Linked DNA regions of Drosophila melanogaster. The gene in region 2 interacts genetically with the main gene of each other region. Each region holds a gene or a part of one and is shown on either strand. Other genes may lie near its edges.

What was found.
Region 1: of gbb (region 2) and MAN1, changing one suppresses a phenotype caused by changing the other (phenotypic suppression), as found in Drosophila melanogaster (one study listed by BioGRID).
Region 3: of gbb (region 2) and CG3632, changing one suppresses a phenotype caused by changing the other (phenotypic suppression), as found in Drosophila melanogaster (one study listed by BioGRID).
Region 4: of gbb (region 2) and frac, changing one suppresses a phenotype caused by changing the other (phenotypic suppression), as found in Drosophila melanogaster (one study listed by BioGRID).

Annotation. Positions count from the first base shown.
Region 1 is NT_033778.4:24,031,996-24,037,244, forward strand, and holds MAN1 (MAN1), read left to right. Parts: upstream 1-1,978; 5' UTR 1,979-2,437; intron 2,438-2,692; 5' UTR 2,693-2,702; coding exon 2,703-4,655; 3' UTR 4,656-4,712; downstream 4,713-5,249. Other genes in the region: Chi (chip), read right to left, coding at 1-1,577, 1,684-1,705; Not11 (CCR4-NOT transcription complex subunit 11), read right to left, coding at 4,788-5,145, 5,206-5,249.
Region 2 is NT_033778.4:23,849,813-23,853,784, forward strand, and holds gbb (glass bottom boat), read left to right. Parts: upstream 1-1,749; 5' UTR 1,750-1,942; coding exon 1,943-3,310; 3' UTR 3,311-3,435; downstream 3,436-3,972. Other genes in the region: ytr (yantar), read right to left, coding at 759-1,000; eIF6 (eukaryotic translation initiation factor 6), read right to left, coding at 1-260; bgcn (benign gonial cell neoplasm), read right to left, coding at 3,747-3,882, 3,938-3,972. UniProt on the Drosophila melanogaster protein: Required for the growth of imaginal tissues and for patterning of the adult wing.
Region 3 is NC_004354.4:16,294,829-16,302,699, forward strand, and holds the start of CG3632 (uncharacterized protein), read left to right. Parts: upstream 1-1,842; 5' UTR 1,843-1,947; coding exon 1,948-1,962; exon of another isoform or gene 1,963-2,079; intron 2,080-2,254; exon of another isoform or gene 2,255-2,411; intron 2,412-2,813; exon of another isoform or gene 2,814-2,832; coding exon 2,833-2,956; intron 2,957-3,020; coding exon 3,021-4,012; intron 4,013-4,191; coding exon 4,192-4,382; intron 4,383-4,447; coding exon 4,448-4,643; intron 4,644-4,711; coding exon 4,712-4,897; intron 4,898-4,966; coding exon 4,967-5,131; intron 5,132-5,202; coding exon 5,203-5,329; intron 5,330-5,397; coding exon 5,398-5,503; intron 5,504-5,569; coding exon 5,570-5,880; intron 5,881-5,942; coding exon 5,943-6,047; intron 6,048-6,110; coding exon 6,111-6,696; intron 6,697-6,772; coding exon 6,773-6,923; intron 6,924-6,984; coding exon 6,985-7,089; intron 7,090-7,381; coding exon 7,382-7,584; intron 7,585-7,871. Other genes in the region: ERp44 (endoplasmic reticulum protein 44), read right to left, coding at 1-290, 395-486, 1,219-1,303, 1,482-1,538.
Region 4 is NT_037436.4:7,560,668-7,568,610, forward strand, and holds the start of frac (faulty attraction), read left to right. Parts: upstream 1-1,942; 5' UTR 1,943-2,025; exon of another isoform or gene 2,026-2,341; 5' UTR 2,342-2,411; coding exon 2,412-2,466; intron 2,467-3,500; coding exon 3,501-4,319; intron 4,320-4,381; coding exon 4,382-4,504; intron 4,505-4,572; coding exon 4,573-7,086; intron 7,087-7,154; coding exon 7,155-7,943.

The DNA.
Region 1 (5,249 bases), 180 kb from region 2:
GTATTGCGTGTTCTCTAGCCGGGTGATCAGCCGCTCGTCCTCCTCACCAAACTCGCCGCCCATCAGCGTCGGCTCGCCCACCACCATCACGTCCTGGGAGGAGAGGGAGAAACTGGGACCGGAGGGGGAACGCTTCTGGTTCGTCACAGGCGGAGTGTTCGAGTTGTTGCCACCACCCGAGTTGGAGCCCTTCCGTTTGCGCCTCTTGTTGGGTGGTCGTTGCGGATCCTTCTTGCCGGGCGGAGCCACCATGCGCTGCCACTTCTGGAACAACGTTGTCTTCAGGCAGTCGCGCGGACTCAGTGCGTACGCCTTGTGCCGCGACATCAGCTCCTGCATCGGTTCGAGGATGACGCAGAGGCGCAGATAGTTGAGGGTGGAGTTGGTGATGCCAGCGCGCGTGATGTTCTTGGTTATTTGATCTAGCAGCATCGGGTCAGGCGGCAGACTGGTGCCGATCACGGACCTTGGAATGAGCTCGCGGTGTCCCTTGATGGTCATGTGCCATGACTTGATGCGCATGTAGTCGTCGTACATGAACTCCAAGATCAGTCTTGCGTCGGCGCAGACCTTCGTGAAGAAGGGCTTGCCGTGCTGCGTGATCACCGTGCACTGGTCGCAGTCCAACGTGATGGACGTGTTGTGGAACGACTCCTTGGCATGCTTCAGCTGAAAGTACAGGTCCGAAACGCCGCCCTCGTATATGCTGCGGAAGAAGCGCGGGATGAGCGTGCGCCCGATGGTGTACCGCTTCGGTCCGTCCTCCAGGCAGAACAGAATGGTCAGCCGGGCATCATCCTCGAAGAACTCCGTGGTAAACGAGTCCCACCAGCAGTTGTCGCTCTCCTCGTTGCGCTGCTGCAGCCGCTTGTTTAGCTCAAAGACGCGGTGTTCCGTGTGGCTAAAGTAGGAATTGTGCCGCCTGAAGCCCTGGTCGATGCGTTCCATCTGCTGCGGCCCGCCCATCATCGGGTGGTTGCCTCCGTGGCCGAATGGCGACGCCGGCGGCATCGGATTGAATTGCCCGCCAACGCTGAATACCGTGGGCGATGAGAAGTGCCCGGCCTGGCCACTGTTAAACGGAGTGCCCGAGCTGGCCGGCCGGCTGAACTGGCCGAGTCCCGAGGATGGCGAGCCGAAGGGCCCGCCAACTGGACCATTGAAATTGCCCGCCGTCGCCGACTGCGGGTAGTTGCCGGGAATGTTCTGCGCACCAACAGGTCCGGGTGTCGATGAGCCCGAGGGAGCAGGTGAGGAGGTATACTGAGGTGTGTTCGAGCCAGGCTGGTTGGAGTTCTGGAACACGATGGACTGGTTGCCGGCTGGCGAGGATTGGCCGGCGGGCGGGTACGGATTCCCGGCCGAGTTGTACGGCAGGCCGCCCTGCGCGAAGCCGCTCTGGTTGCTCCCGTCCGGATTGAGGACCGCCGAATTGGACGCGGGCAGCATTGATCCGCCCTCGGAGACCGCCTTCCAGCTGCCGTCGTCAATGTTCGCTTGAGAAGTCATCGTATTGCCAGCGTTCAAACCCCTACGATTCATGCCTGTGGTCGGTTCTATCGGGCATTCGCGTCGGCCTGTGAATGGAGAGGAATCCATTAGTTTGAACCCATTATTATTTCGGCGTTTTGGGGGTTTCGGGTTCGGTATATTTTTATGGTGCCCATGCGTATGTGTATGCACTTGTCTGTATGTCGCACTGCATTTACAAAATATGTGTGTACACACACACACTTTTCACGGCCCGTTCGCGTTCGAAATGGAAAACGCTGCGAAGGGCCGGATCGGCCGGATTTCAGTGCAGGCAGACTGCTCCCGTATACGCACCTTGCAAAAGGCATACAATATTTTAATTCTTAAAGCACAAACACATATAAATGTATCTACAATTTAAGAAAACTGATTGGCCTCCACCGATAGTTTTGCCATCGCTTTCCAAATAGCAGATTTCGATAGGTGAGAACGCAAGCGTGGGTTTGTCTCGCGTTTGGAATGAACGGAAAAACGACCTATCGCCTGGAGGGTTTTCATGTTCTTGAACAAATTTTTTGTATGACGTTAAATAAAACTAACGATTCAAGACTGTTTCTCATAGTTTGTTTTTAGTTTCTTCGAAATCTCATACCACCCTTAACGTATTGTACATCAATTGCCACATATACCCTCTAAATAATTGATTAATTGTAAAGAAAAACCTATCGACCGACTCAAGCAGATTCCATTTCCATTCCGTTTCACTTTGTCCCACGCCGCACCCTTGACTTAATAATTTAGTATGTGCCGTGCCGTAAAAATTTGTAATCAAAATATGGTTGTAAGACTGTTGCTTTAACGTCGGTAGTTTATTTTATATTTATGTAATTTTGGCCTGTGACACTGCAAGCCCGTGGTGTGATGCGAAAGTGTTCGATTTTTATATACTAGAGTACGTGTTTAGGTATGTTATTTATAAACTGCATTAATTTCGCACATCTTCCAGTGTCCGTTGAATGGTAAACATATTTTTCGCCATTGAATAATCAGAAATAAGCGGAAACTTATTGGCCAACAGCCGACGAAATCCCTCTGCTTATTTCCAAGGGCTTGTGAAAATGTGCTTCGCTATGCAGTTATATATGCACATTCCTGTGTATGCATGTGTGTGCTGCAGTGTGCGTTTCCTACACTCTAAAAAATGTTCTTTCCCTTGCAGAGCGAGAAAAATGTCAACCGAGAGTTTGAACAGTTTGAGCGACAAGGAACTGCACAGGAAGCTAATCCAGAGCGGCTTCCCCAGCACTCCGGTGACGGAAACAACGCGAGCGGTCCTCATCGAGAAGTTGAGAAAGCACACGCGAGCCGACAAGCTGAAAAAGAGGAGCAACAAGTACGTGCTGTACTCCAAGGAGCAGCAAGAGTCGCCCCCATTTCCACAGTACCACCAGTACCACGCCCCACAACCGCCCCAAAACTACGCCAATGGCCTTGATAACAATAACGACCTGGACCAGACCGGAGGCTCCTCAGCTTACAATCGCAGTCTCGATGAGAGCGACTCAAGCCCGCTTCAGTTGTCCGCCTCCAAAATGTACGCCCCACCACCGGTTGTGGCTTCCAATTACGATGGAGACTGCTCGCCGCACAGCTTGGGGTTAAATGGCAAATACCTGCAGCCATGCTCCATGCCGTACGCCATAGACACGTCGAATAACTATGGCAAACCGAGCGGAAAAGCTAAGTTATCTGACGGAGGCGTGGTAAATAGACTGCTCAGCTTTCGGGATACCACGATCCAGCGGAAGTTCAACTATCCCACTGGCCAGGCGTCGAGAATCCCGCTCAGGAAAGAAAGGCTAACTCGGTTCGCTTTGTCGGACCTTAAATCCTTCATCAGGAATCCCGACATCAGGCCCTATGTAATACCACGAGTGCTAATTTCGCTGTTCTTAATATTTTTGACAATAATCACTGTCCTCTATGTGGGCAAGAGGTTCGAGCAGAGCCCCATCGATAAGGCCGCACTGAAGTATACATTATGTAACCCCAACGATATGCAAATGATCAGCGAAAAGGTGAATTGCATCGAAAAAGATTCGCTAAGGGGTGCGCTGGACATGAGCGAGGAACTCTTTAGGCATCTGAACGAGCGAGCCAGGCTCCATCACTGCAAAGACGCCAATTTGTCGCCCGCTTTGGAAATAGGAGAGTTTGTGCGGGAAATGGTCAGCAACCCAAAGACTCACAGGGGAAATCTGCACAGCAACTTGATGGCTGCCAAATATTTGATTACCGAGAATCCGCAGTGGAGCATCCAAGTGGTGGATTCAACGAAGCACCTTGGACAGACCTCGCACTTCGAGCTTTCTGAACCCAATCTGCCGCTCAAGTGCATTGTGTTGAAGAAAGTTACCAGGTTTTTCACCGTTATCGGTGCACTTCTCTTAATAGTCGCTGGATTTCTCATCGTGTACGTCGCGGTAGTAATATACCGAGTTAAGCAGAAGGAAGCCCTGTTGGCGGTCGATCAGTTCCAAAAGGACATAATAAACGAGCTAATTTACTTGAGCTCCCAGTCCGAGAGTCCCGAGGTAGTTATTAACCAGCTGCAGGAGAAGTTTCTGCCGGCCAAGAAGCGCTCAAAGCTCTTGTCTTCTTGGAACAAGGCCCTCAAGCAGCTGGAGAAAAACGATAGCCGTGTGCTGTTCGGAATGGTGAATCGTGACGGGAAGGCAATGCGCACAATTGCGTGGAACAGGAACGTTGACAAAAAGGATGTGGGGCTTGTTAAGAAGTGGCAGAGTCCCGCCTTCGATAACTCGAACAAGATTGCCAACCCGCCGACTCCCTGCCTGAAGATTAGGCACATGTTCGACTCCTCAGAGGTGGATCAGGCCAATCTGAAGCAGTCCATCGTGGAGTCGATCATCGAGAAGGTCGGCACGCGCTGCAAGATCTGCGATGTCCAGCTGGACGTGCAGTCCTGCTGCGTGTACATCCGCTGCGCCAGCGAGGAGGACGCCGGCACGATTCACAAAGAGATCAACGGCTGGTGGTTCGACAAGCGCCTGATTTCGATTAAATTCTTAAGACTGGAACGCTACCTGAGCCGTTTCCCCAAGCCCTCGGCCGAGCCACTTTACTTTCACACCAACGAGGCAGCCAACACTCACTCATAAAACACACAACTCTACATTAGATACTTAAGTTATTAAATGCGAATTTGTTTTACATGTACAGCTGGAGTTGTCGTATTTAATCGATTTATTATGAACTAGACTTTAAAACTTAAAATCTGCTAAACACTACCACTACTTAGCTAGGGAGTTGGACGACAGAGCGCTTTCCCCAGTTTCCAAGTGTTTGATAAGCCGGTACAGGGTAGCAGCCTCCTTGATTTTGCTGAAACCCACGCAGAAGGCTTCGATTTCAATGAATAGTTCCTGGAAAATAACAATAGAATAGTCACTAAGCACAGTCGAGGAAATGGTAGTAGCGCATACCCTAACGTTCACAATCTTGTTCCTAATCAAGGACTGCAGAAATACGCAAACGAGTCGCACCAGGCGAGACTGCATGTACTTGTCCTTGACTGTTTCGCAAGTCGAGATGCAATTGCTGATGTATAGGTGAATAAACTCAGTGGGCAAAGGTCCGGAGGTGGTTAGTCTGGAATGAGAGCTCGAGCATGTTAAAGAAGCCTTCAATACTCGATGTTTGGATTCCTACCGGTTGACCACCTCCATGGAGTGAAGTGTTATGTCCATGTTGAC
Region 2 (3,972 bases):
CTGTTACGCAGGTGTTGCAGCTCCTCGTCGGTGGTGGAGTTGGGCACCAGCAGGCCGTTGCGGTTGCCCACGGTGAGGCGGCCGATGATCCGGCAGCCGCCCACATTCGCATGCACCACCGGGATGGTGTCGCCCAGCTCCGCCTCGAAGGCGCTGTAGAAGGTCTCGGATCCACCGATGGCCACCAGGCAGTATGTGTTGGTTAGTTTAGTGAAGACGCCGATGTCGTCGTTGTTCTCGAATTGGACGCGTAGAGCCATTTTCTCTGTATTTACGTGGATCCTCTTTTCCTGCTGGTTACTCTCTTTTCGGATTTACTGGCCTGACTGAGCCTGCTGCCGGATGAGTTCTGGATTCTGTTTATATGTCCGGAAATCAATTTAAATGTCGTGATGAAATTCGCACAATTTCGCTTCACGTGGTAATTTTTTTTTGATGTTGGGACGCCAGAGCTGCATAGCCATCGATTGGCTGCCTATCGAAGTGTGGGTCTATCGATACTCGTGGGTAAATAAACAAGTTCTGAACGGCGATTTCGGGGGTTTGAGGGGTCAATTGTCCCCTGTGTTGGAATGTGTTCCTAAATCTACACAAACACTCCCTAAGCTTATCCTAAACTTATAAATATTGGTTGCTATTTAAACCCCATTTCACGGTTATCCAGCACGCCCCTGAACTGTGACCCACATCCCCGATTTTAGTGACTAGTTTTATACTTATCGTGGTTGGCATTTGGTACACTACACTTTCTTATTCACCTAGATCGCCGACTCCGCGCACGGTCGCGCTCCCGTTCCCGCTCCCGATCTCGGCTGCGACTGCGGTCGCGATCCCGTTCCCGGTCGCGGCGACCGGCGCCTCCAGATCCGGATCCTCCGGCTGGCGCTACTCCGATGGCCTCCCGCTCCCGGGAACGGCGCTCCCTGCGCTTCTTCCGCTCGGATCGCTCCTTCTCGCGTCTCCTGTGCGCCGGCGAGGCGGGACTTCGGCTGCGGCCCATGGCTCCGTTTCGGTCTCTGCTTGTGTGGCGGTTTGAGTGATTGATGATGGTTTGCCTGCAGTGGATTTGAGCGGATGTTAGACTCCATGTACTCCAATTGCACCGCACGCATCCCGCTTACCGTTGCACTAGGCTGTGTCTAGCATTATTTGGGCGACACCGGCGGTGGGTAAAAACGCGCTAACTTAAAACTAAAACCAAATAAACAACGCGCGTTATCTCGCCGCGACGCCGAAACGGAATGAGGAATGCAGAATGCGGATGATGATGCGAGGGATGCGATGCAAGGGCAAAACATGGCCACCTATCGGATATCGATTGATGGTCGATTTTATCTTCGATAAAAATGTATCCTATGTATATCGCATACCGAATGTTTAAATCGATCTGTTTCCTTTTGAATATGAACTATGTATATATATTAATTAATATTTTTTAATAGCATTACCTATATTATATTTCAAATTATGCCCGGACTATGATAAATTTAACAAATTCATAATTACAAATCTTTCGTCAATACCACTTCCATAAATAGTTTAAAATATCAAAATATTACGAACTTTGCCAATATAAACGTTATATTTTCTACATTTACACAGTTTCTTCTTTTTTTTTTTGAAGCTATTAAACCACATATTTGCTCACGATCGCAGCTGAAATGAACTACTATGTTGGATCTTCTAGTTCGATCTTCAAGACCGATTCATTTTCCAAGTCGCGGGACTGCCAACTCCCGCGAAATAGAAAGAAAATGCATCTTGAAGATTAAGATACACACAACAATCCGTAAGTGCGTCAGAATTTTCAGAACCCGCGGTTCGCTGGAACTCTCGAAATAAACAACTAAATGCCACTGTACATCTGAAGCTATCGCAAGTGGATAGCGCCGTAGATATAGAAAAACAGCGATCGCAACCGATCCGTCCAAAACACGAAATAATGTCGGGACTGCGAAACACCTCGGAGGCCGTTGCAGTGCTCGCCTCCCTGGGACTCGGAATGGTTCTGCTCATGTTCGTGGCGACCACGCCGCCGGCCGTTGAGGCCACCCAGTCGGGGATTTACATAGACAACGGCAAGGACCAGACGATCATGCACAGAGTGCTGAGCGAGGACGACAAGCTGGACGTCTCGTACGAGATCCTCGAGTTCCTGGGCATCGCCGAACGGCCGACGCACCTGAGCAGCCACCAGTTGTCGCTGAGGAAGTCGGCTCCCAAGTTCCTGCTGGACGTCTACCACCGCATCACGGCGGAGGAGGGTCTCAGCGATCAGGATGAGGACGACGACTACGAACGCGGCCATCGGTCCAGGAGGAGCGCCGACCTCGAGGAGGATGAGGGCGAGCAGCAGAAGAACTTCATCACCGACCTGGACAAGCGGGCCATCGACGAGAGCGACATCATCATGACCTTCCTGAACAAGCGCCACCACAATGTGGACGAACTGCGTCACGAGCACGGCCGTCGCCTGTGGTTCGACGTCTCCAACGTGCCCAACGACAACTACCTGGTGATGGCCGAGCTGCGCATCTATCAGAACGCCAACGAGGGCAAGTGGCTGACCGCCAACAGGGAGTTCACCATCACGGTATACGCCATTGGCACCGGCACGCTGGGCCAGCACACCATGGAGCCGCTGTCCTCGGTGAACACCACCGGGGACTACGTGGGCTGGTTGGAGCTCAACGTGACCGAGGGCCTGCACGAGTGGCTGGTCAAGTCGAAGGACAATCATGGCATCTACATTGGAGCACACGCTGTCAACCGACCCGACCGCGAGGTGAAGCTGGACGACATTGGACTGATCCACCGCAAGGTGGACGACGAGTTCCAGCCCTTCATGATCGGCTTCTTCCGCGGACCGGAGCTGATCAAGGCGACGGCCCACAGCAGCCACCACAGGAGCAAGCGAAGCGCCAGCCATCCACGCAAGCGCAAGAAGTCGGTGTCGCCCAACAACGTGCCGCTGCTGGAACCGATGGAGAGCACGCGCAGCTGCCAGATGCAGACCCTGTACATAGACTTCAAGGATCTGGGCTGGCATGACTGGATCATCGCACCAGAGGGCTATGGCGCCTTCTACTGCAGCGGCGAGTGCAATTTCCCGCTCAATGCGCACATGAACGCCACGAACCATGCGATCGTCCAGACCCTGGTCCACCTGCTGGAGCCGAAGAAGGTGCCCAAGCCCTGCTGCGCTCCGACCAGGCTGGGAGCACTACCCGTTCTGTACCACCTGAACGACGAGAATGTGAACCTGAAAAAGTATAGAAACATGATTGTGAAATCCTGCGGGTGCCATTGAATTCAATTTACCACTTAGGCTAAGCACTATAGCACTATATATATAAAGCATTTCTGTGTAGATGTCCATCTCTGTACTAATCTCGAATATTTTTATACAAAAATATACAGCGCTGTACCTAACTGAAGTTCGTCTCTTGAGGAGTTTCATTTGTGGCTAGTATTAAAAGATACTTCTTCTTTATTGTCTCACATCTACTCATGATTGGGATGCACAAATTTCAAATATTTCAAAACAACGATGATAGACGCAATGTGGTACTAAAAGTACGTATTTTGATTCTGGTTAGCTCTCATTTAAAATTAACAGTCATTTCACAGCAATAAAAGGCACAATCAAGTCCTATTTGGACTTCGGCACGCTTCTTTGGATCATTCTTAATTATTTTAGGACTCAATTAGTAGGGAAGCAGGCAATATGCGCGAGGAAGCGGGCTTTATCGCTTGTGAATCCAGTGGTGGCGGAAGGCAAACAATTCCATAATCAAGTTGCCGACACGCTTGTCAATTAGCGCCGACATCAGGCGGCCATCAAACACCGGTGTCTGCACATTCAACGACACACACGCATCTCTGAAAGGAGAGCACATTAGACTGGAGTATTCTCCGCAACTTGGATTGCACTTACAAGATTTCAAACACCGGAATGTTGTTTCGGAAGTA
Region 3 (7,871 bases), on a different chromosome or scaffold from region 2:
TCCCTACGATCGAAGTAGCCCAGAATGAGGCGCTTCTTCGAGTCCAGGTTCTCCAGATCCTTCAGGGATTTGAACTCCTGAATGGGATCCTCCAGCTGCTTCTTGACGAACTCGAGGAACGCTTCGGCTGAACGCTGTCCTCGGTATTCGCGCTTGCTGAGCTGCCCATTGCGTACAATTTTCAATGTTGGATACTTGTTTATGTGGAAACGGGACGCGATGGCCGTTTCCTTGTCGCAATCGACCTTGCCTAGCACCACTTTTCCAGCCTCTGGAAACTCCTCTTTAATCTGTAAGAGAAATTCGATTGAATGCCACGTATTTATTCGATATAAAATGTATATGAATGTATCGCATTGTTTGTAAGCTTTTACTGGCGATCCATTTGACTCACCTTATCTGCAGCTTCCGCGAATATAGGTGCTAAAATATTACTAAACCGACACCACTCCGCATAAAAATTAAGGAAAACCAATTCATTAGACGCTGCAAGAAAACAAAACGTGTTTTTAATGTAGGCACCAAATTGTGTGTAAAATTGTTGATGCGTAGAATACAACTCCGTTCAGATACTAAATATAATAACTTTTAAAAACATATATTTGGTAATATATTTATATCAATATTGAATTACGGGTTTATGTATTAATAATTTAAATGCATATGTATTTTTATGGAATATATTTAAATTTGTCGCTGAATATACATATTAAAGTCAAGAAATTTCTAGCATCCTACTATTCCATAACTTCCGAAAGTTAAAATTTAAGGGGTGCAAGCCTAAGGCCAGGCTTTACTGTAAAAGTTAACGTTTGGATAATAAAAAAAAATAACTTTAAAAAAACAATATAGTATTACCGCAGGATTGTGTACAGGACACACCGTATAAAAAGGACCTATTCATGCAAAGACCAAACTTCGGACATTCTGAGCAAAGAACTGCCGACCAATGGCTAGTGCCCATTTTGGCGGACTATCGGACCGATGCAGCATGAAATATAAACCGCCCTAATTAAGTTTTATCCAAATTCCACACCTTGTCCTTTACGAAAGCGCATAAAACTTATTTTACCACGTTGGCAGTGCCGAATTGAGCGAGCCAGTGATTTTGTTTAGTGACACGTCAATGGGACAAGTCGGCTAATTGATTCCCGCTCACGCTGGCAGCGGGAATGGCATGGGGATGACTGTGATGGTTATGGTATGGGCATATCTCACCTAGGGTCATATCGATATTATCACTGGTCATGGGCACGGCTCCGGCGGCATCGGCCGGCTGTGTGTACTGGAGTAGCTGTAGAATCTGTAAATTCCATAGGATGTCAGTTCTGGTTAGTTAGTTATTTGGTTAGGGGGAGCCAAAAAAAAGCCGGGGCTGTCTGGCCGGCCCCTCCCCACTGTTTCCCCGCCCGCTGATCGAGCGGGTGAGCCACTCCAGTGACCAGCAACATGACCAGACAGAACGGAACACGTCGACTCACCGCAACTAGGGCCACACACGGCCCAAGCTTTCCGATTCCGATTCTGGCTCCAAACATTCTTGTTCGGCTTCCGAATGGCGAATGCGGCTGGCGAGGAGTGGGCGTAGAATTGCGTGCACCGGCGGAGAGTCCAAGCGATCGGTTCTCTTTTTTTCTGATTTCAGTTACACATCAGCTGGAATGGAATGCAAACGTACGCACAATTATTAAGTTTTACAAATTTTTGGTTGATTTTATCGGCTGGCCAGTGTTGGTTAGTCTCGAATGCACATCTCATCGGCAATCGAGTAACGATAGCTTAGTCACATGACTTGGCCATCGCTAACAGCAGCGATAACAGCGATAGCAGCAAACAACGATAGCAATTTCAATGGAAATGAAACAAAAAGTGTCTAAATGAATACATATGCATACATATGTATGTGCAACAACATTTGCAAATCTTTGTTTATAATAGCTGACGCTTATGGATTTTATGGTGGTAAATAGAGCGAGAAAATCTAGAAGCCAAGCGCGTTTTCAATTCGGCAATACGTTTTGAGCTAAATACCCCGAAAAGTCTGCTGAGCGAACGGTTTGTGGAATCCAAAAACCAAATGTGTGTGCATACATATGTACGATTGTAATGTGTTATTGTTGCTCCCCGAAATATCGAAACACAAACATACCTACATAGACAAATATACATATGAGTTTATGCAAACATACACATGCGTAAATGTTTAATTACTTTGTTTATGACAACATACACGGCCATTAGAATACGTTGAGTACGATAATCGGCCATTTTTCGCCTATTGGCTATGAAATCGTGATAATCTAGTCTATTGGTATATATGTGCGTGCGTATGTAATGCAGCGACACACAAATATGTGCATACTATATATTGCGCACCTTGTGGAACTGCAACTGTGTGTGCTCACATAAATGTATGTTCATTGTACATTGTACATCCATACGTGCATATATATGCAGTGCATTATCTATATTGCCACCACGACACTCAAAAACTCAAATATTAACTTCGATTTGTTCTAAAAGTGTTGATTGTGCCCAATTTATCATCCCAGTGACATTTATTTGGCTTTGTTTGTGCACTGCTTAATGCACATGCACATATGTGCATAGTATTATTTATTTATTTATGGGAGCCACTATACTATACGTATCGAATCGTCCCAATAACATCGCACACACACTGTTGTGCGTAATTATGTATTCGGATGGTGGATATAAGAGATATATGCACTTATAAGCGATAACCGGATTTCCAATGACACCCAAATCGCCTTGCCTAAATATAAGCAAATAAGTAATTTCGAATACGTTACATGTTAAGTATTCTTTTAGCCGATTCACACAATGTCCGATGGATCACCGCCTCCATCGATTTGCTTTATCCGTGCCGCCGAATCGTATCCAAAGTCACAAATGGAGAAGGAAGACTCCCAGCTGTTCGTCCCGTTTCAAGAGTGTAGGTGTTCCCCCATATGCTGTAACCGATAACACATGCTAATCTATAGTATATATACCACTAGTGGCCGGCGAATCGATTAAGTACCTGGGGCGCACGGATGATGGTATCCTCGCCCTGTCCAATTATCGGATATTCCTTTCCAAGCAGTCAACCGGCTACGAGACCTACGTTCCATTGGGATTAATCGAATCCGTACAGGTGCGAGATCTGTTCCAGCTGATTGTCAATTGTAAGGATGCCAGCACTGTGCGCTGCTCCTTTCCGTCGGCGGAACAGTGCTCCGACTGGCAGCGCCGGATCCATCTGATGATCGGGGTTCCCGAGTCACTGGAGACACTCTTCGCCTTTCCCTTCTACTCCTGGACCTGCGATGTGCTCGGAAGTGGCAATGGAAGCGGTATCGTTAGCGCCCAGGCCAACGGAAACGGCCTGATTGCCAAGGATCGTTGCCTAACGCTACACAATGGCTTGGCAAAGCCAACAGCCAACGTCACAGCGTCGAATCCTCTGCCCGATCCTGCCAGCGAGACCATCTCAGCCGCCATGAGCAATCGCCTGCAACGATCAGTGCGCTATGAAAGCGACTTTAAGAACGAGGTTGCCCGCTTGGGATTCGATCTGAAGGGCTCGTGGCGCATCTCCACGGCCAATGCCGATTTTAAGCTCTGTCCCTCGTATCCACCCAAATTGCTTGTGCCCTGCTGTATCACCGATGAGATGCTCCACAACGTGGCCAACTTCCGGGGATCACGAAGGCTGCCGGCTGTCGTCTGGCGGCACCAAAAGTCGGGTGCCATCTTGGCCCGATGCAGCCAGCCGGAGGTCGGTTGGCTCGGCTGGCGCAACACAAGGGACGAGCAGCTACTCAAGGCACTCGCCGATGCCTGTGCCTTTGACAGGGGCGAGCACGCCAGGCATTCCACCTGCGCCAATGCAAAGGCGCAACCAACAAAGGGCTCCAAGGAGACCAACGGCCAGTCGGGCTTATCCGGCAAGAGTTCACCATCTCTGGACGATTCCTCGCATGAGGAACTCACGCTGGATGAAATCAAGGTAAGTTTATTACCAAAATAGCCGGGTATTCTTGAAATGAAGGTTTCAGTTACCATATAAGAAAACATTCATGAATAATTATCATAAATTACTTAACACGGAGCAGTAAAATGATGTCAAAACCGCCAAGTGCTAATGAAATAATTTGATCATTGCTCTTAAATTGTATTTGCTTTCAGAAAATCCTCATTGTGGATGCTCGCAGCTACACCTCCGCAGTTACAAATCGTGCCAGAGGTGGCGGCTGTGAGTGCATCGAGTACTATCCCTGTGCAGAGATTGAGTTTATGAACTTGGGCAACATCCACGCCATTCGAAAGAGTTTCCACGCTGTCCGACAGCTATGCGCGTCATCCCCCGATGATCCAAAGTAAGTTTACTAGCTGATTATTAAAGATATATATATATTTATGTAATGGAATCATATTCTTGCAGCTGGTACGGACAACTGGAAAAGACCATGTGGATGCAGCACCTGTCGGGTCTGCTGGGAGCCACCATGACCGTTGTGCACACCATCGAGAAGAATGGACGACCCGTCCTTGTACATTGCTCAGACGGTTGGGATCGCACTCCACAGATCGTGGCCACGGCGCAATTATGTTTGGATCCCTACTACAGAACGGTTGAGGTACGTTGATATACATCAACATTTGTGTTCTATGGACTAATACTCTACCTACTTGCTTGTATTTGCAGGGGTTCCGCGTTCTTGTCGAGCGTGAATGGCTGAACTTTGGACACAAATTCGCCGATCGCTCTGGAAATGGTCCCAATTCCGATGAAGTTAACGAGCGATGTCCAGTTTTTCTGCAGTGGCTTGATCTTGTGCATCAAATACACAGGCAGTATCCATGCAGTTTTGAGTTTAGTATAAGCTATTTGGTAAGTGGTGGCATGGAATTTCGCACGGAGTTGTGCACATTAACTCCTTGTTATATGCATTCTTTTTAGATCAAACTGGCGCAACATTCGTTGTCCTGTCTCTTCGGCACGTTCCTATGTAATTCGCTCAGAGAACGCATCGAGAATTCAGTTTTCGACCGAACGTTTTCCGTGTGGCCATTTTTAGCGGAAACTATGTATAGAAATCCTCTCTATAAGCATGAGACTGAAAAGGTGGTTAATAACTTGATATATGCTGTCAGCCTAAAGGAGAATGCTAATGATTTTTGTGTTTTTTTTTTTAGGTTCTTTGGCCAGCGCACAGTGTGCGGTTTTTATATTTTTGGTCTGATGTATACCTTGGTAGTTTAGGCAACAAAAATGGAACTGATCTACCATTACTAAGTAATGAAAGACAGAGCGGACACAATGGTGAGTTGAGTAGAGTACTCCTAATTGAAATTGACTCACTTTTTACTCCTTACTGCCACAACCAATAGGCCTCATGGCGAAGACACGATCTTCTGAAGACTTAACAACGAATGAGTTGGGACAGAGCACCATTTCCAGGAGGTCCAGTGATCCCAACCTGACCGTTGAATCCATGTAGGTCAACTGAAGATTATTTGATCCGGCAGCAAAATGAATTTCGTTCTTTTCCCTACGATTCAGTGTTACAGATTGTTTCAATGCCAATAGCAACTCGATGTTTGACATACGATCCGAGGCCAACAACAGTGTTAGCGAAAATGTCCAAGAAAGTGTTAAAGACTCCAAAGAAGTAGAGCTGGACGTGACGGATGCAACTGAAGTAGGTCCATGTGGCCGTTCAAATAATCCCATTCCAGATTTCCATAACGACCAAAGTACAGCTTCTAAACGTGATATATTGGAAGTGGAATCACAAACGCAAAGGCGAAGTTCCTTGGAGTCCTCACAGCTGATCCCTGGGTCTGTCTTCATTTTTGGCTCATCCGAAAACGGTAAAAGATGTTAGGATAAAGCAAAAGAACTTAACTAAACTTAACTACCTTAATGGTTTTAGATAAAAATGCAGTTCCTTCGGAATCTGAAGAATCCTTGGCGACCTCACAGAAACTGAACTCTGAATCTGGGCGACCTTTTTTCATATTTGGTTCATCCGAAAACGGTAAGAGATGTTAGAATGAAGAATAGAATGAATACGTTACATTAACTATCTTAATGATTTCAGATCAAAGTCCAGTTCCTTTAAAATCTGAAGACACAAGTGATATTTCTCGCGCCCTGTGGCATGGCGCAATTGAAACCAGCACTGATACCCTTATTCCTGCGGAGCCCGTACAAAAACCAAACAGCGACAATAGCAGTAGAGATCACATAACATCCCCCACAATGGAACTGGTCAGTGGTGATAGAAAGCTGGAGTCGACTAGCACTGTCCAAGCCAGTAAAATCAGTCAGAGCTACAATAATTTGCCCAAGGTACACATAAGACCGAATGCCGTTATATGCCCGCAGCGGGTAGACGCTTTTCCCCATCACCTGGACCTACAAGTGCCAAGGGAGACGACGGGAAATCCGGACCGTTGCAAGCCGGAAAAGTTAGCCAAAGATGCAAATGCGAATGCCAATGCCAACGGATCCCTGCTGGCATCCGATGGCTACAACGGCGAGGAAAGTCTCTTTATATCACCCGACCTTCAGCGGTTCGTGGGCCAGTCGCCATTCGATGCTCCCTCGACGGGCGGACGAATACGGCGAAATACCTTCGGCTCGAGCTACAGTCGCGATATGAAGTTCACGGCTGAAAATGGCAGGTGAGTTGTGTGTACTTTCTCACTGGTGGCATCTCCCATTGGACTGAATCAAAAAAAAAAAAAACTCTACTTTCAGCGCACACCAATTTCCGTCGTCGGGGATCATTTCGTTGCCCCCAACACCATTTCAGGAGAGGGCTCAGTTCACTATATCCTGTCCAGATGGCCTGGCTCACGGACTCAGCGAACAAAACATAAGACTCCACCAAATCGTACAAGAACACAAGGTGAGCTCCGGTGCAAAAGCAGTTTTCATTATAGTCATTTTAATCACATACACTATTTCAGCTACGTGAGGAAATGCTACTGCGAGAAATACACGGTATGCGACTGGCTCTGTTGGAAAAAGGTTGCCCCAGCTGCAACAGCATCGTTTCGACAAATATGGAACATGTAAATAATGATCGTTTAAGATACAAAATGCGTGCATATATTCTTGAAAAGCGTGGTTAATGTTAGTTATAGACCCTCGGTGCAAAGTGACTGCCCAATTTGTTTAAAACATGGGCCTTGGTCTTTGGATTCTCACAGTGCATATTCTGTAAAATATGAATTTGTTTCATCCTTAAATCACCAGAGCGCGAAGTGGTGGTGGTGTTTCAATCAGGGGCAATACTCTGCCATCTAATCATAAGTTACAATGTGCATTAACTGTCAGTCGTCTAATTATTTAACTCTTCTCTAGGAAAATGGATCGGATATCGTTGAAAATGCTTCAACATGTTCCTGGGAGGCCGTCGAAGAACGTAGTGGTCCCGCCTCGTATGCCCCTTCCTCGATTCAAGAGAAAAAAGCCTCCAGTGTCCTCTGGGTGCCAGACCATGCAGTTTCGCGTTGCTCTAGTTGTCAAACTGAGTTCTGGCTTGGACGAAGAAAACATCATTGTCGGTGCGCATCCAACACTTGAAACCTTAATGATTTACTCTTAAAAGATTTTTAATATGTATGATTTTCGACTTGAGTTGAATATTACCATTTTTAGCGATACAAAATTCCTAGACCTTAAATGTCAGTAACTAAGACTCGAGTACCTTCTTTATGACTGTGCAATATTACGATTAAATTTGACTATTCAATTTCTTTTCCTAAAGCTCATATTCAACTTGAGTTGAAAGCGTGTTATAATTTTCTTACTTTACTGGGATACATGACTATACTAACAGTGTAAACTATGC
Region 4 (7,943 bases), on a different chromosome or scaffold from region 2:
TCAGATACGAAAATCTGTGTGTGTGTGTGTGTGTGTGTGTGTGTGTGTGTGTGTGTGTGTGTGTGTGTGTGTGTGTGTGTGTGAGGGGGTAGCGTGTCGGGATACGCCCAGTTCGCCCGATAGGTGGCGTGCATTCGCTTGCTAACATTCCTGACGTGGGCTTGTGTGTTTGTCTGTTGGTCAATGAAGGCTCCACACGGTTATTATTTTTAGAAACGTTGCACGATGTCCAATTGTTGCTCTAATTTCCATATGAGTTTTTGTCCGTGCCCATGAATGAAGCGAAATATCCGCTTGGGTTGACAGTTCCAATCAGATAAGAACTATGCAATCGATTCGGCATATTCTGTCCTATGCAAATCGCTCGATTGCGCTAGATTTCACTGTGGCCCACACCACCGCACAGAGATGATCGTCGAGGGGCCCTTCGAAAAGATTGATTTTTGATTTATTTTGGCCAAACACTTTTTTGGACAATTTTTTTTTTTTTTTTTGCAGCAATCGATTGGCTCTTGTGGCGCTGAATGCCTATTTCTGCCGTTCGGCGATTTATGTCAGTCAAGCAGTGACAGCGCTTTTCATGAGCCAATAAAGTTGTCCATGTCGCTTTGTCATATTCATATATCATGGCCGTACACCCGGCGACTTATGTCACATTCACATGGCCCAAGAAACTGGAGTATCGAGCAGAGCCTGCGCATAAACGAGGCCTAAGTGCGCGATCGAGAGACGTCGTCCGTGATGGTGACGGTGACAAAACACAATTTGGCCAGGCCAAACAAACAGTCAGACAGACGGAGGGACAGATAGACAGACCTATAACATACTTGTGTACAAACAAACCAGCTAAAAAAGTCGCATATAAATCAGCACACGCAGCTGGTTCATTAGACTCTCCACTTCGGGCTCTTGGCACTGCCATTTGGCTTGACATTAATTACATAAGCTAAGCGGCGCTTAATAATGCGCTCAACAATAGAGCAAAAGTGCTCGAGACCCAGTCGACCAATCTTGTGATGTAATGGCCTCCCCCATGCGAAAGTTTCACCTCTTAACACTCCGCCAATATCTTGAGCTTAGATGGGCAATTTGTTTATTGATGGTCCTCTTTAAAAATCTATGAAATTATGTGTACTTAATACTTAAATAAATACTAATACTTAATACTTAAATAATTTCATACCTTGTATAAGCGCGTTATTTTTATAAGTTAAACAATTTGATTTACTAAAGAATATCAAAAAATATAATCATGAGTTATTTTTAATGGTACCCTAATCTCTAATACGCATCTTAACATAGCTTCCTTTCCATAAAAATGTTGAAAAGAATATTAAATGTAAATAAACGAGTAAAATTTGATTCAGAAAAGTCAAAATGAAAAAGATGGAATAGACGGTTGTTGAGTGTGGGAGCCGAAAATGCTTTATGAGTATTTGCATTTGAAACAGGTAGTTGTGGGTGTAAATCCATTATGTCCGACATATAAATACTTCGAGTATCAAACTTTATTTATATTTAAGGCGAACTACGTCCTTTTGTATTCAATTACAATTACGATTAAAAACCATTTGTGATAATCTACAGAGTAGCTGAGCGAGCAGACTATTTATTCTATATAGTACCAGCTAATATAAATTATGTTAGAGACTACCGCATTTGACAGCTGCTGAAGGATCAATGCGATCAAGTTCAATGGATGACGGAACCTCATTAATTATCACAGCCCAATGCTAATGATAATACCATGGGTAAAAATAGCTTTCCTCTACGCGTCCCCCTCTGGTGACATTTGTGCGCTCTCGCACTAATTTGCTTTATGATATCAATGAAATATCAGCATATATACACCCATAAACTTATATATATATATATATCTTTGGAGACATCGAAAAACTGTTTTCACGTTCCCTTCGAGAAAAGTCAGAATTTCTTTGGCTCCTCAGTCTTGTCTGGGCTCTCGACGGAATCGGTGCGTTTTCCAAAATAAAAATACTATTCCTGGTTTTTCCTTAAACTACAGAAGTATATATACAGACTGTTTTTATGTGTTTTAAATCAATTAAAGTAGTGAAATTCTCAGTGAACTCTAATTGCAAAAAGTGCCTTCGTTTGATGTAAATCCGACACATTTACTTCACGAATGACCTGTGAATATATGTAAAAAGTGTTGAACATGTGCTATTTATAAACCCGCCTTAATCTTAATGGCTTTGCTCCTCTATATGCCGCTACATATATAGATCTTCTCCCATAAATATGTTGGAGAACAAATAAAAAAAAGAAACGAATGTCGTGAAATCTTATTAATGTATTCTTTTTTATAAAATTTGAACCCAAGAACCCGATACAAGTGAGAGTGGAAAGGTGTGTGGCAGCTGTTCTATAAGGATCGGAAATAGGGCTGCAGAATGTGGGCGGCAAAATATGTTTTATGCGCGCTAGCATGCGTTGCATTTGCTTCAGGTGAGTGTGGGTGGAAATCGAAAATATTTCACGGATTTTGTGGAAATGGGAAATTTATTGGATAGCTTACAAGGAATTTTGGGGATTGTAAAAGATTATTATAGTTTGGATTGTGCTTCTTTAGATTATGGCAATCGGTTGGGTATTACGAAATATATCATTTAAATAGATTTAAATAGAGAATGTAAAAATGTATTCCAATTCAGACCTATTGAGTATTGTAATATTTAATTGGAAATTATAATTATTTGCCTTAAGGCCTTAAATTAAATCATTTTTTTTTTTTGATTATTTTGCTTTTTTGAAATGTATGTATATATATTGACCATTAAAATGTCCACAAAATGGTCATAAAAACCGTTTGGTTTATAGCTAATGGAGCATATATTCATAGTTTTATGACACGTTCTCCGGAAAATGTGTAACACAAAATAGTCATGGCTAACACGGGGCACTTATATATTTTAGCGAAATATTACTCACCAAATTACCGGCCGGCTTTATGAAAACTGAACATATAAAAACTGATCGTAAATCAAAACAAAGCAAGTCCCAAAATGACAAATTAAATTAAAAAACCGTGAAGACTATATGGCAAAGAAATATCTTTTGGCAACGATTCAAAAGATTGAATCACCTAGTTTTTATGGGATTCCCCTTAAAGGCAAAGATTCTAGGATAATACAATCGGGCTTTTTTTTTTAAACATATTTGGGTGATTGTGAACAGCTGTTTGTGGTATGGAGCGAACAATAAAATGTTTTATTGCCTTTAAGTTCTGGTGAGAAATCTTTTAGTGCACTAAATAATTTTGGATGCATAACACGGAAAACCGTTTATGTTTATGTTATGGGCATGTTCATTTTTTTTGATCTGCATACAACTTTATTGTTATAAAATCGCACAATCTTTTAGAACTAATGTCTCCAATCCCTGGAATTTCTATTAAATAGGCCTATAAATTTCAACAGGTTTCTTTTATGCTAATTTTCTGGTTATATCTTAAAAATTAATGTATTTCTATTTCCATTTAGCTTCTCCAAGCTCCGAGCGAAAAAGGAAAAATGTCATGAATATTCCAGAGGATCCTAAAGTTTCTGACTCCTTGGCTGCTTCTTTGGACATGAGCTGCTCGTCGGCCAAAATCCTTCCGCCGGAGATTAATCATGGTAGGGTGTCCGTTTTCGATCGCCGCCGGAGGGGAAAGAAGGTCTTCCTAGTGGCCTTTTTCGTATGCGATGATAACTACGACTTTGAAAACGGAATCTCAGAAATGTTTTGCTCGAACCAGAAATGGGTGGATGAAATACCCACCTGCATTCCCCAATTGAATTTTGAAGAACACGACGAGAAAGTAGGTTACGATTTGGAAGATTATTCCGACGAAACTGTGCCCAACGATTACGTCGAGAACAGTGATATTGATGAGGATGATGATGAAGAGGTTAGTGAAAGGGAACCACCACCGCCACCACCACCACCGGTAGTGGATGGAGCCGATTCCAAGCCTGAACCACAAATAGTTATCGAAATTAATGATGATCATGCAAATGAAGTCGTTGAATCAGAACCTGCTTTAGCGGAGACTGAAACTGAAAATGAGGTCCTTGAAAACGAAACTCCCCTGAAAGCGGAAGTCCAAACTGATGTACTCAACTCCAGCAATGCATCTGTTAAGGTCACCAATGATCCTTATGAGCCAACATTCTTGGATAACAATTGTGGCGAAGACAATGGAGGCTGTGCGCACATTTGCAAGCGATTGCTTTATCCAGATGAAAACCAGCCCATCAATAAGTGCGATTGTCGAGAGGGTTATACCCTGGATCCTAACGATTATGCTAGCTGCCTCGGTGGGTGTATTATATATAATTAAATTGAAAGAATTTGCTAGACAATATTATTCTTTTTGAAGATATCGACGAATGCCTGGAATCGAATGGTGGTTGTTCGGAAATTTGCGAAAACCTTCCAGGAGAATATAAATGTAGCTGCCAAGAGGGTTATTACTTAGACGAGTCAGGAAAGAGTTGTGTTGGTATGTTTTAATAAATGATATTTAAAAAGAAAAAAAATTCACATTAAATGGTATATACTTGTTTTCAGACATTAATGAATGTGCGAATCCCGAGCTGTCATCGAATTGCCAGGGTGCTTGCGAGAATCTGCCAGGTTCATATCGCTGTGTGGAGCCGCTGGAGGAGAATCCCGAGATCACGGAAGTCGTGGAGAATCCCATTGAGAAGACCAACGAAGTCCCAGTGAACGTTTCCGAATCACAACCCGCCGGAAAAACATGTAATTCTGGCTTTCAACTTTCCGCCGACGGCACTGATTGCCAGGACATTAATGAGTGCGAGGTAGACGGTCCTGAGGATCTTGATAATAACGCAGTCTGTCAGCAAAAGTGCGAGAACACTATTGGATCATTCCGTTGCACCTGCGTTGAAGGATACCACCTGCTCGAAGATCAACGAAGCTGTGCATTGGATAGCTGTACGGATCTGGAGAATCCCCAGTTGAATCGCACTCGATGTGCCCACGAATGCCAGGATTTGCCAGAGGGAAGCTACCGATGCGTGTGTCCCAAGGGTTATGAACTATCAGAGGATCAGCATTCCTGTTTGGTGCAAGAATCTCCATGCTCCACAGAAAAGGGAGTTGAAAAGTGCTCCCCGGGAACCTGTCTAGCCAGTGAGGATAATACCAGCTTCAGTTGCATTTGCCCAACGGGCTACCGCAGTGAGGCATTCAGTTGCCAGGACATTGATGAGTGCGCAGAGGATACACACCTTTGCAGTCACACTTGCCAGAATACACCCGGTGGTTATCAGTGCCAGTGTCCCGAAGGACTCAACCTGGTCGAGGAGTACACCTGTTTGGCCGAGAATCTCTGCGAGGTGAACAACAACGGATGCGAACAGATCTGCCTGACTGCCCGAGGAGGAGTTTGCGCCTGTCGCGAGGGATTTCGATTAAGTGCCGATGGCAAGAGTTGCGAGGACGTGGATGAGTGTCTGGTAAATAACGGTGGCTGCCAGCAGGTGTGCCGAAATCTTCCAGGTTCGTATGGGTGTATATGTGCCGCCGGCTATGAGCTCCTCAAGCTTGATGGCATACGCGGCTATTGCTTCGACATCGACGAGTGCTCGCAGAGAACTCATGGGTGCAGTGATCAAATGCTTTGCGAGAACCTCAATGGTTCGTACACCTGCCTCTGTCCACCGGGATATGCCCTTGGCTTGGATAACCACATAGTCACATCACTAAACAGCTCATTCATTACTGATTCAACCTCATCCGAAACCCCATCAGCGCATACATGCTTGGACATTGATGAGTGCTCTCTGGCCAATGGGAATTGCTCCCACTTTTGCCAGAACGAGCCTGGTGGCTTTCAGTGCGCCTGTCCCTTGGGCTATGCCCTATCCGAGGATATGCGCACCTGTCAGGACATTGATGAGTGCCTCGATAGCAATGGCCAATGCTCGCAGCTCTGCTTGAATCAACCTGGGGGATTTGCCTGCGCTTGTGAAACGGGTTTCGAGCTAACTCCAGATGGATTCGGTTGCGCCGACATTGATGAGTGCTCGCAGGACTATGGAAACTGTAGCGACATCTGCATCAATCTTTTAGGTACCCATGCCTGTGCCTGCGAAAGGGGCTATGAGCTGGCCAAGGACAAGCTAAGTTGCCTGGATGTGGATGAGTGTGCCGGCCTTCTTTCCGGTGGTTGCAGCCACGAGTGCATCAATAAGGCAGGTACCTTTGAGTGTGGATGTCCCTTGGGTTACATACTCAACGACGATGGTCGTAGCTGTAGTCCCGCTCTGGTGGGTTGTCCACCGGGAACTCAGCGATCCGCGGATGGATGTGCTCCAATTGAATGCAATCCGGGTTATACCCTGGGATCGGACGACAAGTGTGTGGACATCGATGAGTGCCAGAAGCAGAACGGTGGCTGCTCGCATCGCTGCTCCAATACCGAGGGTTCATTCAAGTGCAGCTGTCCACCGGGCTATGAACTAGATAGTGATCAAAAGACTTGCCAGGACATCGATGAGTGTGACCAAGACAAGACTAGTTGTATCACTGGAACCTGTATAAACGAGATTGGAGGCTTCCGCTGCGAGTTTCCCAAGTTCCCCGTTCTGCCGGAGATTCCCACAGCTTCGTCACTGCCTGAATCGCCCAAAATTGAATTGAAGACGCCAAAGTATCCTGATTTCACCGAGCTGTCCAATGAAATACCCGAGAATCCCAAGAAACCAGCTGAGTTCGATTACCCAGAGCCCAAGTTTCCATCTTTGCCTAAGTGGGAAGGTCTTCCAAAGCTTCCGCCCCTTGCTGACATACCTACATCGAAAGCACCCGTTCCCCTGCGTCCTGAAGTGCCTAAAAGTCTGTGGGTTAATCAGTTGCAACCCAGGGATCTGTGCCCTCGATTTCAGGCACCACGAAATGGCAAGTCCCACTGCAATAGGTATCGCCATAAGCAGAAGCTCTTCTACTACAGTCGCTGCCGAATTTCATGCAATTCGGGCTATATTCTTCAGGGTCCTGAGATCAAAAGCTGTGACGCCAATGGAATTTGGGAGGGGCCCGAAACCAAGTGTGTTGGTGAGTCATTAAGTTAAGTAATAGATTATACAGTTGGCATTCCGTACCTCTTCCGTACCTTTTCGCAGCCATCAACCAACCTCGTGCACAGAGTCCTGGAATCTGCCCCGCTCTAAAGCCCGCCCAAAATGGAGTTATACTCCCAGCTAGCTGCACTCAGGGTCCATCTCGATTTGGTGACGTTTGCCGTCTTCAGTGCAATGCTGGCTTCGTGTCCACCGGATCCTTGTTGACCGCCTGCATGATGCTGCAGGGCTGGTCGTTCGGTGCAGATCTCAACTGTCAGCCATTCGGAAACGGTTTGCTTGGAAATCAATTATCCCCGATGTGGAATTCTCCGAAAACAGTGACTCCTCATCAAATCCAGAATGTGGAACAGATTAGGCCCTATATCAATTGCCCGGAAAATGTTGTAATCCTACTGCATGCCGGTGAGCAGAAGGCTCATGTGACTCTTCAAAGACCCCAAACTAATGTTAAGAATGGCCGATTGGTCGCCCATCCCGCTTGGGCTGGTCAACTTCAGGGTCATCTGCCAGCTGGAGTCCATAAGGTTGACTTTAGAGTTAACGATCCGGAGACCAAGCTCACAATTAAATGTCACACAATAATTACTGTTAAGGCTGCAACACCTAGAGAATCAAATCCATTTACTTTGTTTCGAATATCTGATTATTCAAGATCATCACTTCCCAGACCGGCTCCATTTGCGACTTTGTCCACTGGTAGTTCATTCTCATTTCCTGCATTCAAAGCCCTGGATGCAACTCCAAAACCAGTTTCCTTTACCAAATTCCAAGTTTTCCCAGATTCTGAGTCATCAGAGCACTCGAAACTTGGGTCATCTTCCTTCTTCA